Linked DNA regions of Styela clava. The protein of the gene in region 2 interacts with the protein of the main gene of each other region in a biochemical or structural test. Links are inferred from orthologs where the notes say so. Each region holds a gene or a part of one and is shown on either strand. Other genes may lie near its edges. The genes, in order: CD2 antigen cytoplasmic tail-binding protein 2 homolog and pre-mRNA-processing factor 6-like.

Region 1 (7,716 bases), on a different chromosome or scaffold from region 2:
TGGACCTCGTTATCTAGTTTGGGGTCTAGTCCGAGATATATATATACACCGGTATATAGATTAGATGAACATTTCATAATTTCAGATGCATGAACAAGGGCAATGGAGGAGGTGGGAAAAAAAAACTTGATAAACATCCCCAAAATTAAAAAGTCCCATGTTTCTTGTGATCACCTCCACAATATTTGACTCTGTGTGGGAAATTTAGTAGTTTAATAGCAAGTGTGTTTTAACACTACACTACAGCCAAGTGAATATCAATGTAAGCAATATTGTTTGATAAATTTACACAAAACTATAGACACAATGGTGGAGAAAGCTGACCAGTTGGTACATAAATCACCACCAATTATCCACGGAGTTACAACATGAATTTCCTCCTCAAATAACTACTACAGAGAAATCAGTGGCGGTAATGTCATACGTGTTCTTATAATAAACAAAACCGAAATAAATGACAATAAGCCAAATTTTCACCAAATCAAAAATGTACCTTGAAATTTTGATCCTCCAATTTTTCAAAACCAAGTTCAATATTCACGTCTTTATCCGAAATAACATTATTCGTGTTGGTGCTCGAAGAACCTCCTGTAACCTCCATTATTTCATTATTTCACTAAATAAAAAATAAAAAAAAATATTGAATATTCCATATTCAAACCAATATTTGTTTTATGTATTTTGTTGGCATTTCATTTGTGTGCGTTAAAAATGTTGGGAACCAAACGATTTAAACAACCAAATAAAACATAGGAACTACTCTAGGTCAAACTCCTGCCAAAGGGATGAAAATTTAGTAGTTCGATAAAATTAAGGAGAAGATAAATGACTGTTGCAGACTAAAATTATCAAAAAGTATTTCCAATACTCTGTAATTGAAACATGACCAAAATTAAGCCAAAAAAGGGCATTTGAAAAAACGCATTATCAGCTGACAAAGTTTAACGTTGTAACTTAAATGAACTGACACCCAAAACACTAAAGCAGGGTCTTTCACTGATATTTTGAAGATTATTTTGACAAGGTATAATCTACAAAATAGCAAATGAAAGACTGTAATTTAGTCTCAACTCAGTGCAGCAGTGAGACCAATCAACACACAGTTGAGGCACAAGAAATAGTAACATTATCTATAAAACCCTCAAATGCAGAGTTATTTTTACCCTACATAACTTCTCAGATTGAGTTAATCTTAGTTTTGCAGTTGTGACATAATTTACAGATAAACTTTATGCCCCAAAAAATCTCCTCCCACAGCTGAGTAAATCCACATTAAAGAAGAGTAAGAATTTGGAAAAAATGAGGACGCTTAGTTTCATAGATCAAGTATAAAGATCAAAATCTATTCGTTTGGATGAATAGAACTGTGATTCATCACGATCTGTTCTTCGAACCAAAACACCATCTTTAAAATAACCTTGTTCTTGCCATTCAAACATTTCTTGTGATGTGAAAGGTCCATGGATTTCAGAATCTTCCTCAGTCCATTTAAATTCCCATTTTATTACATTTTCACCGTTACTATTCTCATTTCTATTAGTACTTCCAGATTCATTCATTTTGTCTGTTTCATCTATGTTACTTGCTAATATATCCAAAGCATCATCGTCATCCGCGTCATCAGGTATAACTGGCTCTTTCGCCTTTTTCTCGGCCTCCATTTTTTCAATTTTATGTTGAAACTTTTCGTAAGTATCTGTATAAACATCGTAATGTCCGGCGCCAGTCATTTCATCTGCTAGACCAGTCAATTCCAACAATTTCTCTTTCTGTTTCGCTTCCTTGTCATTTTCATTACTTGTGCTTGTTTCCTCATTTGTAGCATTAAGGTCGTAAACTTTTTCTTTTCGCCATGAACGTTTCTTCTTCTCCTTTCCGCCGTGGCGTCGAAGAGCTCTGGTTAATGTTTCTCCAGGTAGCATGAGAGCAACTATTTTCTTCAAAACTTCAAGTTCATCTAAAGTATTTTCTCCATCATCAGATGAATCTTGCTCCATTTCAACATCTTTCTTTTTAACTTTCATCCAGTCAATATTATCCAACCAATTATCCCGAATGACGTTCTCCTTCCGGAAATGATAATTCCCTTGAACATCAAAGTCTCCTTCAGCCATTTCCTCCTTTAGGTTGAAAGGTGTGATTCCAACTTCCTCCCCTGTGTCCACATAATCATCTTCTGCTCCTTCAACATCTTCTTCTGTTAATTTTTCAAAATCTTCTTTCTTATTATTATCTTCTTCATCACTATCAAGGCTGTGGTCGAGTTTGAATCTAGATTGATGGTGACTCCGTCCAACAATATCTTCCTGATTATTTTTTAGTTCAAATTTTTTTGTAGATGCATCATCATATTTTGGAAATTTATGCACAGTCTCTTCTGCACCAGCTTCACCACTGAATCTCACTCTTTTTGACATCTCAAAAAATACTGGTATCTGGCTTGGATACCGTATAGAGCTGTGACATACCGGTACGGTACCTATAACTGTAAAAAGTAAAAATTTCAGTCAATGAATATTTTTAAGATAAAATAAAATTGGAAAATATCCATTCCAGCATTTTACACTGAATACAGGTATCACTAAACTCTGAAAATGCCATCAACGGAGCATCATAAGAGGCCGAGGCTTGAAGTCACTGCTGCTTTTGCGGAAGCCTTCTTCGGAGATTTTCTAAATTCCACGACCCGGCGCTCGTTTTTTCATTTACGAAACAATAAATCTCTCTGGGTGTTCGGTATGAGCATGAGTGAGCACATTGTCCGGTCACTTTGTTAGCACTTGCACAATATTAAACATAAATAATAAGCAAAGCGCATACTATTTAATATATTCATCCCCACTATTGAAGTTTTGAGCAAAATAATCACTTTCCCAACCCTTCCAAATACAAATGGATGTTTCTCGACCCTTGACCCCAGAATTTTTTTTCTGGAGTTGGTAATGTGTTTTCTCGTAGTATCGCGTTACTTCAACTGATAGTGTTCCCTAAGTTGTTTACATGTTAGTTTTTAAATGTTCATAATCAGTCATTTCATTTCATTTCATTTCAGCCAAGTAAATAAATATTGACCTCACCACAGAAAATCCCAGTACAGAAAATTTCAGTGTTATCGTCATTTCCGACACATATATATCATCGACTGGCTCATCATCAACTGGCACCCACCCCACTTGCTCAAACTGATTGGACAATAATACAAATGGCATTTTTACACCAACATGCAAAATTTCTGCAATTGTCCTGAGGTTCCCTATTATATATATATATATATATATATATATATATATATATATAATAAATACCACATGGGGACCGCTGCTCTCGTCTGATTCTGTGAACTCGCTTTTTTAGTCATCTTCTTCCTCTGTTTTGTCCACCATTTATTCTGAACTGGCACCCACCCCACTTGCTCAAGCTGATTGATTGGACAATACAAATGGCATTTTTACACCAACATGCTAAATTTCTGCAATTGTCCTGTCTGATTCTGTAAACTGGCTTTTCTACTGATTTTGTAACTCGTTTTTTATTAGTCAGTCGTCCTGTCTGTCTGTCATCTGTTTGTCCGTCCGTCCGTCCGTCCTTCCCCTCAGACTGCTGACTCTGTCTCGCTTGTGCTGTCTCCTGGCCCCTTCTTCCGTAACTCGCATTAACTTCCTCCGACTCTGTTTCGCTTGTGCTGTTTTTGCTGTCTTCTTTTTTCGACTCCTGGTCCCTGGGCCCCTTTCTACTTTCTGTTTCGCTTGTGCTGTCTTCTTTTTTCAACACTTGGTCCTTTCCTACTCTCCTACTCCCTGACTACTACCTAACGCATTAACTCTGCTGCTTTTTCCTATCTTTCCCGTCATGTCTCGAACTCTGTTCATCCGCTCTCTGACTGGCTGGCCCCTCCCTACTTTCTAATTTTGTAACTCGCTTTTCTACTCCGTTGCTCTTTATTTAGCTTCTTCTTCCCTGAGCCCGCCCCTCTCTGAATGTTTCGTTTTTTTTTTATCCGACACACTCTCTGCTCTGCTGGTCCACAATGTTGCTTTGACTGGCGGCCCCTTCCTTTTACTAACTAACTTACTCTGTTGGTTGCTTTATGTCATGTCTCGGATTCTGTTTGGCTGACCCAGCTTCACATAACGCTCGCTGAACTGGACTGAACTTTATTTAACTTAAATCAGTCCGGATTTTGTAACTCGCTTTTTTGTAACCCCTGCCTCATCTTCTTCCGTGAGCCCTACCTGCATTCCCGCCACATCGGACCAGTGTGTTGACTCACATTATGTACTACTACTGTCTCATTTGCTGGTTACATGTTGCGCTGAGTTCCCTTTCTACTTTCACGCTCTCGTACCGGCCCTTCCTTCCTACTTTTGAAACTCGCTTTTCTACTCCGCTGGCTGCTCTTTATTAGTCCTGTCCCTGCCTGTACTCTCGCTCGCTACGTGTCCTCTCTGACCAGCTCATTACCTACCTATACACACGTCCTTCACTATTACTCAGCTCAACTCCATGGGATCCGAACCCTGGTCCTACGATTTACCGTGACTCTACGCTGCTGTTGCGCCATAGCTACCGATGAGGATCGGACTTTCAAAATCTTACTTAATTAACAGGTAACGTCACTCAATCAATGGCAATCTCTGACGAGCCTCCGTATCTCGAACAATAATGAAATATTGCATTGGGTCGAAGATCGTGATTATTGCCTGGATGTAAGCCGTTTATCTATACAGTATTCTATAACTATCGTCAGGGCTAGGAATGTTTGATTAAAATCATTAAGCAAAATAAGCACGTGCTCTAAGCAGTGTAAGCACCTATCGGAGGGGAGCACCACGTATTTACAATGGTGCCTCAGTGGTTACTGAATTAATTCGAGTTGGTCTGACGACTCAGACTTCAATATTGACCCGGTTAAAATAGATTTTTGCTCTTTTTTCGTTTTAATAAATCATACCCTTCTTAAATCGGAAGACATGCAGTTGTATTTTGGAAATTGTGAAATTTCACGTTTCTCCCTTATGTAGATTTTGAACAAATGGGGCATTTTCATTAACGAATTATACATAAATGCTAATTTTTTTCCCCAACAACCGAAATTATGTGATGAGGAGTGTATATAATAAATTATGTATCAACAATTATAAAATCTCGCCACTCTTAATCAAAAAGGACAGGCTGTTGTAGTCTGGAAATTGTAAAATTTTATGTTTTCCACTTATGTCGACTTTAACCAAAAAGGCCAATTTCAGTAACGGATTACTCATAAATGCAAAGTTTTGTTTCCAACAACTTTAATTGTATGATGTACCACATATATACTATTATAATATTCAATAATAAAATCTCGCCCCTATCAATCGGAATGACATGCTGTTAGAGTTTGGAAATTGTGAAATTTCACCTGACTGACATAGACGTGACTCCTTCTTTATCGTTTTAAAAATACTAAGAACTTTCTAAAATTGTGTGTTAGGATGGAATTATTCATGTACTTTCATAATACTTTGTAATTTTGTTCTTGATAAATGAAGGACATCACAAGACACTGTCTTATTTTCAATGAAACCATTTGCATGTCGGCAGATCGACTCTAGCATACTGTTGCGTGAAATGCTATAAAAGATATCCAATGATTTTGTACCGTTTTCAGTCGGACATGATATTCGGAGGCAGGGGCGGACTAAGCCCCTTTGGTGCCCTAAGCACTGGAGGCTTTGGTGCCCCCATATATGTCTTTTAAAATACATATAATTAAGTGTATTATCCATCAAAAATACTCACAACCAACAGTAAAAAAATACAACTTCTACGAACATTTTTAGGTTTTCTTACAATTTTTTGACTGTGAAATTTTGCTCATATTCCCAAAACCAATCTTATTCTTACAAAATACATCTTTTACATTAAATAATGAACAACACAAAATTTTGAAAAGATGAAATTGAAATAAACACAATACCAACAGTAAGGAAGCAAACGATGTTTTTCGGTACGTTTACTTGAATTTGATTCTGATAAATTTTCTCATATTATCAAAACAAGTCTCTCTTCATACTAGATACTATGCAACTGACACTACAAAGGCACCACTAACATTTGAAAAGACAGAAGTCTTTCACTTACCTTTGAAAAGTTTTTTCCTAATTTTTTTAGCTGCAAAGTCTTTGATTAGATCCTCAAAACTAAGCTTATGTAACACATCTGCCTCTATACTCAACAGAGATAAAGCATCTAGTATTCTAGTCTGTCTTGTTTCATAGTTGTTCTGTAGGGGTTTTTAATATACTTCAGCTGAGAAAATGAACGTTCTGCTGAACAATTTGTGATCATTAATGTTAAAAATGTTCGAAAGCTATTGTCTACATTTGGAAAGGCGCACTCAATGTTATATTCTACAAGAATTTTGTAAAGTTCAGCATGACTGAGTCTTGATTTTTTTTCCTGTGTCATTGAATTTATGGAGCACATATAAATGAAACTGCTGAAGCTCAGCTGAGAAATTACTGTTGAAATCTTCTGGGTAAGCATCAATAATCTTTTGACAACCCTGCGAATACTTTTCCTTCTCAGCAGACAGCAGATGAAGAGACATTTGGTTGCAGTGGTAGCGTGAGCGCTTCATAGCGTTCAAATTCATCTCGTGGAATGCGCAGCTGGCCTCGTAATGATGCATTCAGATGCGCGCATGTTTGTAAGTCTACATTCTCACTTTGCAGAACTTGACTTACTCTGTAAAATTTCATTCCAAAACAATAACATAAAACGAATTCCAGCTCTTGCATTTTTATCTGCAATATAAGTAGTCTAGCTGCCTAGGTTTGCATCAACTGGCTTAGCAGAATATGATTTCCATATATTCTGGGAATTGTCACGATCAAGACTCACGCGTCAAGTCTCAACGTGAATCGAAATACCAGATGAACCGAGTACAAACTGCAGTTTAAAATTTTACCAGTACTTATTAGTCTAGTCTACCTTACCAGAAAACTCCCCAACTTCGCTGACCTCTAGATCGCTGAAATGCGATCGCGGAACCGCCACATAGTGCGCCATTTTTAATTTTGATGTTGTCGCTACACCAAACTTTCGACAAGTAAGTTTCAGTGTTCATCACTAATGTACCTTCCCCGAGCATCAACCTCCTTGTTGACTTCGAGTAATTGGCCAATCAGCAAGATGCAAAAAAGTGACGTAACAATGCACCCTTTTCGCATCCGCTCAGACACTTTTCTCCCTCAGACAGATTTTCAGGCATAGTTGTAAACATTATCTCGTTTTCGCGTTTTTTATCTCTATTCGTAAGTTTTCAGTTGTGTTTCGGAAATTTGAGTATAAATCAGATAATTAAATGATCACCATGTCTTTTTATAAGTTTTAATTCAATTGCAGTAAATGAAAAATTGGTGTAAAAATAGCTGTGTTAGACTAGGTTAAAATTCCTTACCGGTATTTATAAAAAGGTGATTATTGTACGCCATGAAACACAATGATAGTCTCAACAAATATCCCGTTTTATAGGGGCCAACTCGCGAAACCACTTTTAAAATAAGCCCCGAGAATTTTGCAATTGTAAAGTATAGGAAGAATTTTTCGGGGGTCAATGGTCGGGGATAGGTCCATTGATGTACACGTACACGAAGGTAGTTCGCAAACCTCCAACCATTGATCTAGATTCTAGAAGCTTAATATGATGCTTGAGGAAAAGAAAATACGAACAAG
Region 2 (8,984 bases):
AGTAACAGGCGAAATCTCTGATTCACACACTTTTTAACTATTTTTAAACTTGGAATTAATTGAATAATTTCTGGTAGCTTCAGCTCGTCTATTATGGTATGCTTGGTTCCAGCTCCCCAACACTATCTGCTGGTGTATTTCATTTTTACTGTGATATGACTATTAAAAATTCGGGTCTCGTGTAGTTTTGTACCCCAAGTTCTTCTAGTGGGCGTAGCATAACGATTTTTGCACACACTTTTTAACTATTTTAAACTTGGAATCAATTGAATAATTTCTGGTAGCTTCAGCTCGTCTATTATGGTAAGCTTGGCTCCAGCGCCCTAATTCTATCTGCCGGTGTATTTTATTTTTACTGTGATATAACTATCAAAAATTCGGGTCTCGTGTAGTTTTGTACCTCAAGTTCTTCTAGTGGGCGAAGCATAAAGATTTTTGCACATCTCAATCCTAACCCCCACCGTCGTGATGATGTAATTTTCGGATGACATAGTCAGGTGGGGGTTAGGATTAACATAATGAAGAAATTGTTATGCTACGCCCACTAGAAGTCCTTCAGGTACGAACTACACTAGACCCAAAAACTCTTAGTCAATCTAAGCCACTCATGTATGGTTTTTAAAAGAATGAATTTTTGAGATCCTACCACTCCAAGTTTTCTTTTCAAGTCTGAGAACATTTGTTGAATTTTTGGTCTTTCTTCACGAAATTTTTCCAGTTCTTCTCGTTCCCTTTCCTCTCTATATTCCTTCCTTCTTTCGTCCATTCTCCGATCGAGATGATCATAAACAGCATCTGCTTCCTCATCGTCTTTCTCGTAAGGAGCAGATGCAAATAAATTTCCTCCATATCCAGTAAACTGAAATACAGATTGTGTTTTAGAAACAGGAGTATAATAGAGTCGTTACTCGTTACATAAAATATATTAGGACAAGTTAGGTCGCGTTTTCTTTTTTACTTAAATAATTCCTCTGTGGTTCTCTGTGTGTGTGGTGGGTGCGTGTGTGAAATAGTTTAATAATTTTAGGTGGGTGAACACATACCAATTCTTCTTGGCAAAACCTTCCATCTTATATTTTGTATGTTTTAAACCTTATCTAAGGTTTTGTTCGCTCTCCTGATTCCACAATCATTTTTTTTATTTGTTTTTATCAATCATTTTATTGTTATGCTGATTAAGGAGTCGAAATAAACTTATATAAAACGTTCAAGGTGTCAATAAAACATGCAATTTGCAGACGTTTTGAATTTCCATACAAACAAAAACTTCATCATAGCATAATATGTAAAAGTGATAACGTCTACATATATCATCGTAGTAAATTCAAACTAGTTTATGTCTTATTTTCTAGAAATGGATTTTGTTAGTCTGTAAAAGTTTCAACTGCAACAATACTTATAGAATAGGACTTACAGTACATATATATCCCGAGGAATAGGGAAGCCATAAGACAGACTAATCATATGGCATACCACAGCCTCTCGTCCGGTTACCAGTCCATGTTCGGAAGGAAGCCAGCAATCCTTCTCACACATAATCAACCCGCATGGCATGGGATTCGTACCTACGAACCCACGCAAGGTTATCAGAGGTGCAGTGGCGAGCGTAAACCTAATGCTTAGCACGCCATAATGCGTCATATAGCGATAAATGGATTTTTCATATTTATTTCAGGAAAGAATATAGTTGATAAGACAGCTCAACCATGTGTCAGATCACATCCTCTCGTCAAGCTACCAGTCCATGTCTAATATGGGAATAGTTAGCCATTTATTTGATAGCGGAGAAAGCCATAAACGACCAGTGCATTTTGAGTTTGTATCTCAGGTAAACATTTGAAAAAAAAGAAGGTGCTACCGTAGTATGTGAACCAAGATGGTGGACACCTGAACAAGTTAGGGTTAGGCAATAATTTTATGCCAATTTTCCTTATTTGAATTCTATTATGATTTCGGTGACCAGCCAAGTGACTACCGTAGTATTTGGACTTGAAATTATGGCACAACCCTAACCTGGTACACATATTACGTTATAGTGTACGCCATCTTGGTTCACATAGGGAGTGCCAAAAAGAAAGCAATTATTTCAATTGCTACCTCATCATAATTTGAGTCATTGAGATCTTCTTCTTCATCCTCTGGTTTCTTTGCTTTCATTTGATCTCCGAATGTTCGCTGGCCAGGAGGGGCATGGCGGTCATCTGTTGGATCGCTAACATCTCTAGCTGGACCAATATCAGATCTCGTAGTGAAACCTGTAGCTCTGAAAATATGATATAAAAGTTGTGAAAATAATTCATCTTTTTTTTATCAATGTTGAAGATAAAAAGTAAAAAAATTGAAAATGGGAATCCAAATGTTCCCAAAATTAAATATTTTATATCACGGAAGTTAACCAATTCCAAATAAATTATTTTGTACATTTCCGCTTAAGCCTTGAATGAAATTATCATTATCCTTGAAAAGATATTGTGTGTGACAGGAGTACGCAGGCCATGTAATCTGCAGATATTTTACATCGGGTCTTGTGTAGTTTCGTACCTCAAGTACTTCCAGTGGGCGTAGCATAATGATTTTTGCTCATGTCAATCCTATTCCTAACCCCAACCTGACTACACCATCCATAAATTATGTCACTACAACATTACATTCATGTCATACAGCTTGCAAAATTGTATGTACCATCGCTCAAAATGGCGTCAGCGCCAGGTGATAACAAACTCATTAACCCTATCAATCTCTCTCATATGAGGATTTTTGACGAGAAAAGGAGGGAACGTATATGACGTAACCCTCTCGATTTTGGGTGATCCCCAGCACATTCTGGACAGCTGCCCGAATATTTCGGCGGGCCTTATTACGTCACTGTGCCATCATAGTGATGTCACTCAGGATGACATAGTTAGGTGGGGGTTAGAAATGACATATGCGAAAACTGTTGAGCCATGCCTACTAGACATATTTGCACTATTAAACTATACAGGACCCAAAACAAGAATTGTAATAAAAAACAGGGAATTGTTTGCCACACCATTTTAATAACTTTATAGAAGTTGAAAAATTGAATATAGATTTTGTAAATAAGAGTAATCAATCAATCATTTATTTCGGTACTCTGACATAAAAACAAAACAAAACAGTAAACAATATTTATCATGATGTAAAAAAAAAGATTTCGTCGGGCTGATTATAGTCCAGTAGTTGTAGTGTAACTGTATAACTGACTGTTTAATCAGTGGTGGAATTCAGGGGGCTCGTGCGAACCCGTCCTTGGAGTGTCAAGATAATCAGCAAATTCGTTCTTGTTTTTTCAAAGCATAGTTTTAAGTTTGCATAGTTTTTCAAAATGGTGTTAGCAAGTTCTACGGTCTGACGGTACGCAATACAGGCCTGACCACACCAGCTAAAAATTACGTCACTACGAAGTCACAGTGACGTAATAGAGCCCTTCAAATTATGCGAACTGTCATCCAAGACACGCAGACGAGAACCCGAAATCGAACAGCCATTGCTCTTGTTTTCTCGTCCAGTCGTCGCAACGATCCCGATAGGAGAGAGACCCCAATACAGACAATAAAACCATTGGATATATTGGTTAAACTGTGAACTATTGAAACACACATACATGACGAATCATTCAATCATTAAAACAAACTGATGTCAATGCAATTAAATTAAAAACATACCCACGCCCGAGGCCAGGGACATATCCGGGGGGAGCTGGTTGCCCCAACCAAGGTTTCTTTTTTTTCTGTGTTTGTACAACGCCAGTTAACTCAGCCATTCAATTATTAGAATTGAACCTATTAGGTGCAGTATCTGTTCTATCTAAATTTCTGGAAGTAACAAAAAAATTAAATACTTAAATTCTGCCGTTTGCCTTTGTTGAGTAATCTTTCTTTTTTGTGCCAAATAAATTCCAATGACAAACGGAATTGAGACATCTTGCACACAGGTCGCAGTGCACCCCTCAGAATTCTCTTTTGAGCACTCCAACCTTTGAACCTATACTATCGCCCCACGAACTTTTCCAACCACAAGGCGGTTTGAGGAATGATTTTGTTTAATGTTCGCATTGATGGTAATATCAGAATATAACGGTATAAATACATTGAAAAAACAAAAAAAATGTGGAGTTATGACAATATAATTATAAGGTGTGCTGCTTCGATCATCGACTTTACATTACTAAAATGAAAGATGATTTGTTCGGAATTGCGAATGGTATCGTTCTCGGAATTTTATTTTCGACAAGAAAGTGGTGGTTATAAGCAGGAACAGATAAATTAAATACAGTGATTTTCTTCTGAAATATTCGAAGATGTTTCCATTCTAATATTGATGATTGTTTCCCACATGTATTATGGATTACTAATTATTTATTTACAATAAAAACTCCTAATCTTGCTAAATCGTCGGTGTGACGCGCATCGTGCTAAGCATTACACATGTCCTCTTAACTATTTACACATGCCCTCTGAACTATACAATAAATCTGATGTAAATTGTCGAATAGTAAAAAAAATTTATTTTAACAGCCGTCTCATTTTCTGTCTTTATTTTATAATTTCATATTGTCTACATAATCTGTACTGTTGTCCTTTTTAACATTGTTTTGTGGAAATAAAAATATTTCGCGTTACGAATACGCTCGTCACCGCATCTCCGATTACCCTGCGTTGGTTCGCAAGGTTCGAGTCCCATGCGGGGTTGATTATGTGCGAGAGGATTGCTAGACTCCTCACCGCTTTAGGGTGTAACCGGTTCGCCATATGATTAAGCCGTCTAATCGGCTTTCATCTTCTCCGAGATAAATGTGCAAATCCTATCCTAACTAGCAATATTGCTCAACAGCATTACCATTCAGCCGCCGAAATTTTAGTTGCGATAATTGAAATCCAATATTTTTCGGCTTAACAGATCAGGCGATGGAAACGCTCAAATCATTACGGTATCAACGAGCCCACAGGTGTCGTAAAAACATTTGTTTCTAATAATATGAAAGCAAATCAACAAAATTTCAAAGAATAGAACGCTGAATGATTTGCTAGGTAACATATGAATATGTTAATTAAATAGCATAACATTATTACAACAGTGATATCAATATTAAACTGAATAATACAAAGATTCTGTTATCGAATATTATTACTGTATAAGTAACGAAAATTCTCTGTCAAATGCGATATGTGACTTGCCCCAAACGTCAGCTACCATGCCTTTCTTTGAGTGTTGAATGGAATTACATATTCCCGTGACTCGGCGGTGGGCGCATCGTGCTAAGCGTTAGATAAACGATCGCCACTGCACCTCTGATTATCCTGCGTAGGTTCACAGGGTCAAATCCCACGGGAGATAGTTATGTGCGAGATTCTCTATTCCTCACCGGACTTTCGAATCACTGATTTCTTTTCCGGCTTGAATCAAATAATGTCAAATTATGTTTTTATCTGCAAGGCTTATGCATCAATTTTTATGTAATGCATTAGAAAGGAAAACGGACATATCAAAATTGTACAACTGAAATCTTGGTGGCTGAATTGTAAAGTATTCGATCAATATTATTAACAAGAGAACAATGCTCAAATATATCGACACGAAGTTCAACACGTACCGCAAACTGCCACAAGGTGAGCAATTTTCGATGACGAAATCGCACACAGAAACCGGTGCTCCCGAATTGGGTGCACAGGATGGCGCACAACCTGACCATAGTATATTGTGTACCAGGTTGGGGTTATCATGTTGTTGTTCGCCATCTTGGTGCACATACTTCTAGAGCGCCAAAAAACAAATCCCATAGAGCCCACAAAAATATTGAAATAAATTAAAAAAAATAGCCTTCTAGTGCAAAATACAATCTTTGAAAATTTTAAAGCATTTGGTCCAACAGTTAAATAGAAAGCGATTTTGACAGCAAAAAAAAGAAAAAAATACTAACAACATGATAATCAACAACAACATAATAACAAAACGATCTATAGGTCCATTTCGTGTCCAATAAACCGACAAGAAGATTTCAGCTTAAATAAGTAATTAGTAATCCTTAAAACATGTGAGAAACAGTCATTAATAATAGAATAAAAGCATCTTCGAATATTTAACAAGAGAGCTATGCTCAAATATATGGACACGTAGAGTCACATAATTTTGATGACGTCATAGCGAAAAAAAGTAATAGCCTTCTGGAGAAAATTTTTATCTTTAACCACTAAAAATTTCAAAGCAATTGGTCCAGTATTCGAAGAGAAAAGCGACTTTTTAAAAACGTGTCAAGCGGTACTGAGTTAGCAGTCAGGCAGCATCTTACCTGTACACTGTAGGCCATATACGGTAATTGATCACAGAACAGTTGTTCCCTTGCAAATTTTATGTTGTTTACACTTTAGGACAGATAATTGATCACAGAACAATTCTTCCCTTTCAAATTTTATGTTGTTTCCAGTAGACTCTCATCAAAATAAACAAATATAGTAGGCTACAAGTGCTACAACGCTTGCATTACTGCACTGGTAGGACCGTGAAAGAATAAGTTACGGTAATTTCATTGTGGTAAGACACCGGTACCGGCACCAGTACCAGTATCGTACTTACGTACTGAGCTACCAGTACCGGTTAGCAGTCAGCCAGCATCTTACCTGTACACTGTAGGCCATATACGGTACCGTAATTGATCACAGAACAGTTGTTCCCTTGCAAATTTTATGTTGTTTACACTTTAGGACAGATATTTGATCACAGAACAATTCTTCCCTTTCAAATTTTATGTTGTTTCCAGTAGACTCTCATCAAAATAAACAAATATAGTAGGCTACAACGCTTGCATTACTGCACTGGTAGGACCGTGAAAGAATAAGTTACGGTAATTTCATTGTGGTAAGACACCGGTACCAGTACCAGTATCGTACTTACGTACTGAGCTACCAGTACCGGTACCGAACCTGTAGGTCTGATATTCCGTTCCGCATACGATAGGCTATAAAACTTGCATTGCAGCATTAGTAATACTGCGGAAGGAATAAGTCAATTTCACTGCGTTACGGTACCTGTATGGCAACTTACCAGTACCGACCTACAGTAGCTGTAGTACTGAGCAAGACAATCGATCGCGAAACCGCTTGAAATAAGTGTAAAACAGTGTTCCCATGAGTAATAAATACCGCGAAATTTTGTATGAAATATCATATCTCATAGGATTCATATAAAATTTAAGAATAAACAAAAGTAATAGCCTTCTAGCGAAAAAATTAATCTTTAACCACTGAAAATTTCAAAGCAATTGGTCTAGTATTCGAAGAGAAAAGCGACTTTTTAAAAACGTGTCAAAGAACAAGAACAACAACAACAACATAATATTGAAACGATCGTTATGTCCACTACGTGTCCAAAAACAAAATTTCTGTACGTAACGCTAACAAATACTGATTAAATAGGATGTTACGAATGCATTATTACATAATAACAATAATTAACGCATCTTACGCATGTGTTTCATCACATATATATTGCCTTGTCGTTCATGTTCTGGCACTTTCATCAGTCATCGTATGAAACTTCAATTCTAGTAAAAATTTTGTACTACTTGTACGTCTTTGAATTAGGTATTTATATGTTCTTCGTTTGATTAAAAAGTATAAAAACAAAATGAATTTTGGAAGCAAATCTACAGAGGTGCTAAGCAATGGCAGTCGTAATTCCAATGAATCTGCTACTAACTACACTTTTATAGAAGTGAATTCAACTATCGCTTCGAATCAAACATTCAACTTCAACGATGGAGATTCGGACGCCTCTGTGATTAGTGTAATACTGGCGTTATTACATGCAGTTGAAGCAATTCTCTTTTTACTATCCTGCTGGATGTTAGCGAGTTTCATTTTCTACTGTATTCAGAATGGAAAATGGAAGAAAAACGGCGAAACGACAACATTTTTCAGTGGTAGAGTTTTGCACATTCTTTTTACAATTGTTCAAGGCGTCCTCCTTCCAAAATTTCTGATCGGACTAGTTTACATCCAGGCACTCCGGGGAGCAAACACTTTCTTTTTATGTTATACGGTCAATGGTGTGGCAAAGATTTATTACGTGATCATTACATATCTTACTTATTCCTTCTTATGGGTGAGACAAAGAATAATTTATAAAAAAAGTCTCACTACAGGAAAATTCATTAATTTCTTGAGTTGGGGAATATTTGCGATGCTTTCTGCGCATTTGATTCTAGTTATAAATATTTTCATTGTATTTGATCGTTACGAGCGAGTATCTCAGGGTTGTGTATATATTAAAAACAAAATTAGACCCTTGTATACTATATTGTACCTCCCAATGTTTCTAGCCCAATTCATCCTTCTTGGCCTGCTCGCCTACCCAATTGTGAAGAACACAATGGAATTCAAATCAAGATATAGTGGGTCAAAGTGGAGAAAACTTTTGTGCAATGCAGAAACTTCGAAGTCTAGCAATATACAAAAAATATTTCGGCGTATGTTAACCTGGACATGCATTGCTGTTGTCTCTGACATCCTATTCCTTGCAGTATTTATCCGTTTGATTCCAGGGTCCTTTCCTCTTTCAATTAGTGCGACAGGAGCAGACGTAGTAAGTTTTATCAATGTTATTTGCGTATTAATGACATTCAACGACAGGTGGAAAATAGTGAGCGTTTTCTTCCCAAAGAAACAAAGTAAGATTGGTGATGGTGACGTGCCTACCAAGTTAACTATTCTTCCACGGACGAGTGGACTCAATACGAATTCAAACAAACATATCAGTCTGAGGTGTGTAAAGACGGCTTGGCCACGGATTCAAAGAGATGAGTTGGTTTGAGGCGTGTGGACACTGTAGAAAACGTGAAAAGTATTTTGTTATATTTAGAGGAAGTTTTCTTACTCACTCTCTTTCTCTACACAATACTTAGACCTCAACATGGTTCAAATTTCTCATGCTAATCCGTTCTTCGATAATTAAATAAAGTATCATAA

The links.
Region 1: the proteins of pre-mRNA-processing factor 6-like (region 2) and CD2 antigen cytoplasmic tail-binding protein 2 homolog form a complex in vitro, tested with the Homo sapiens proteins (2 studies listed by BioGRID and IntAct). The link is inferred for Styela clava from reciprocal best matches to the Homo sapiens genes PRPF6 and CD2BP2.

The regions. Positions count from the first base shown.
Region 1 is NC_135258.1:7,298,051-7,305,766, forward strand, and holds CD2 antigen cytoplasmic tail-binding protein 2 homolog, read right to left. Parts: upstream 2,485-7,716; 5' UTR 2,418-2,484; coding exon 1,323-2,417; 3' UTR 1,313-1,322; downstream 1-1,312. Other genes in the region: ELMO domain-containing protein 3-like, read right to left, coding at 494-601. UniProt on the Homo sapiens protein: Involved in pre-mRNA splicing as component of the U5 snRNP complex that is involved in spliceosome assembly.
Region 2 is NC_135256.1:6,262,960-6,271,943, forward strand, and holds the start of pre-mRNA-processing factor 6-like, read right to left. Parts: upstream 3,865-8,984; 5' UTR 3,785-3,864; coding exon 3,687-3,784; intron 2,264-3,686; coding exon 2,098-2,263; intron 860-2,097; coding exon 647-859; intron 1-646. UniProt on the Homo sapiens protein: Involved in pre-mRNA splicing as component of the U4/U6-U5 tri-snRNP complex, one of the building blocks of the spliceosome.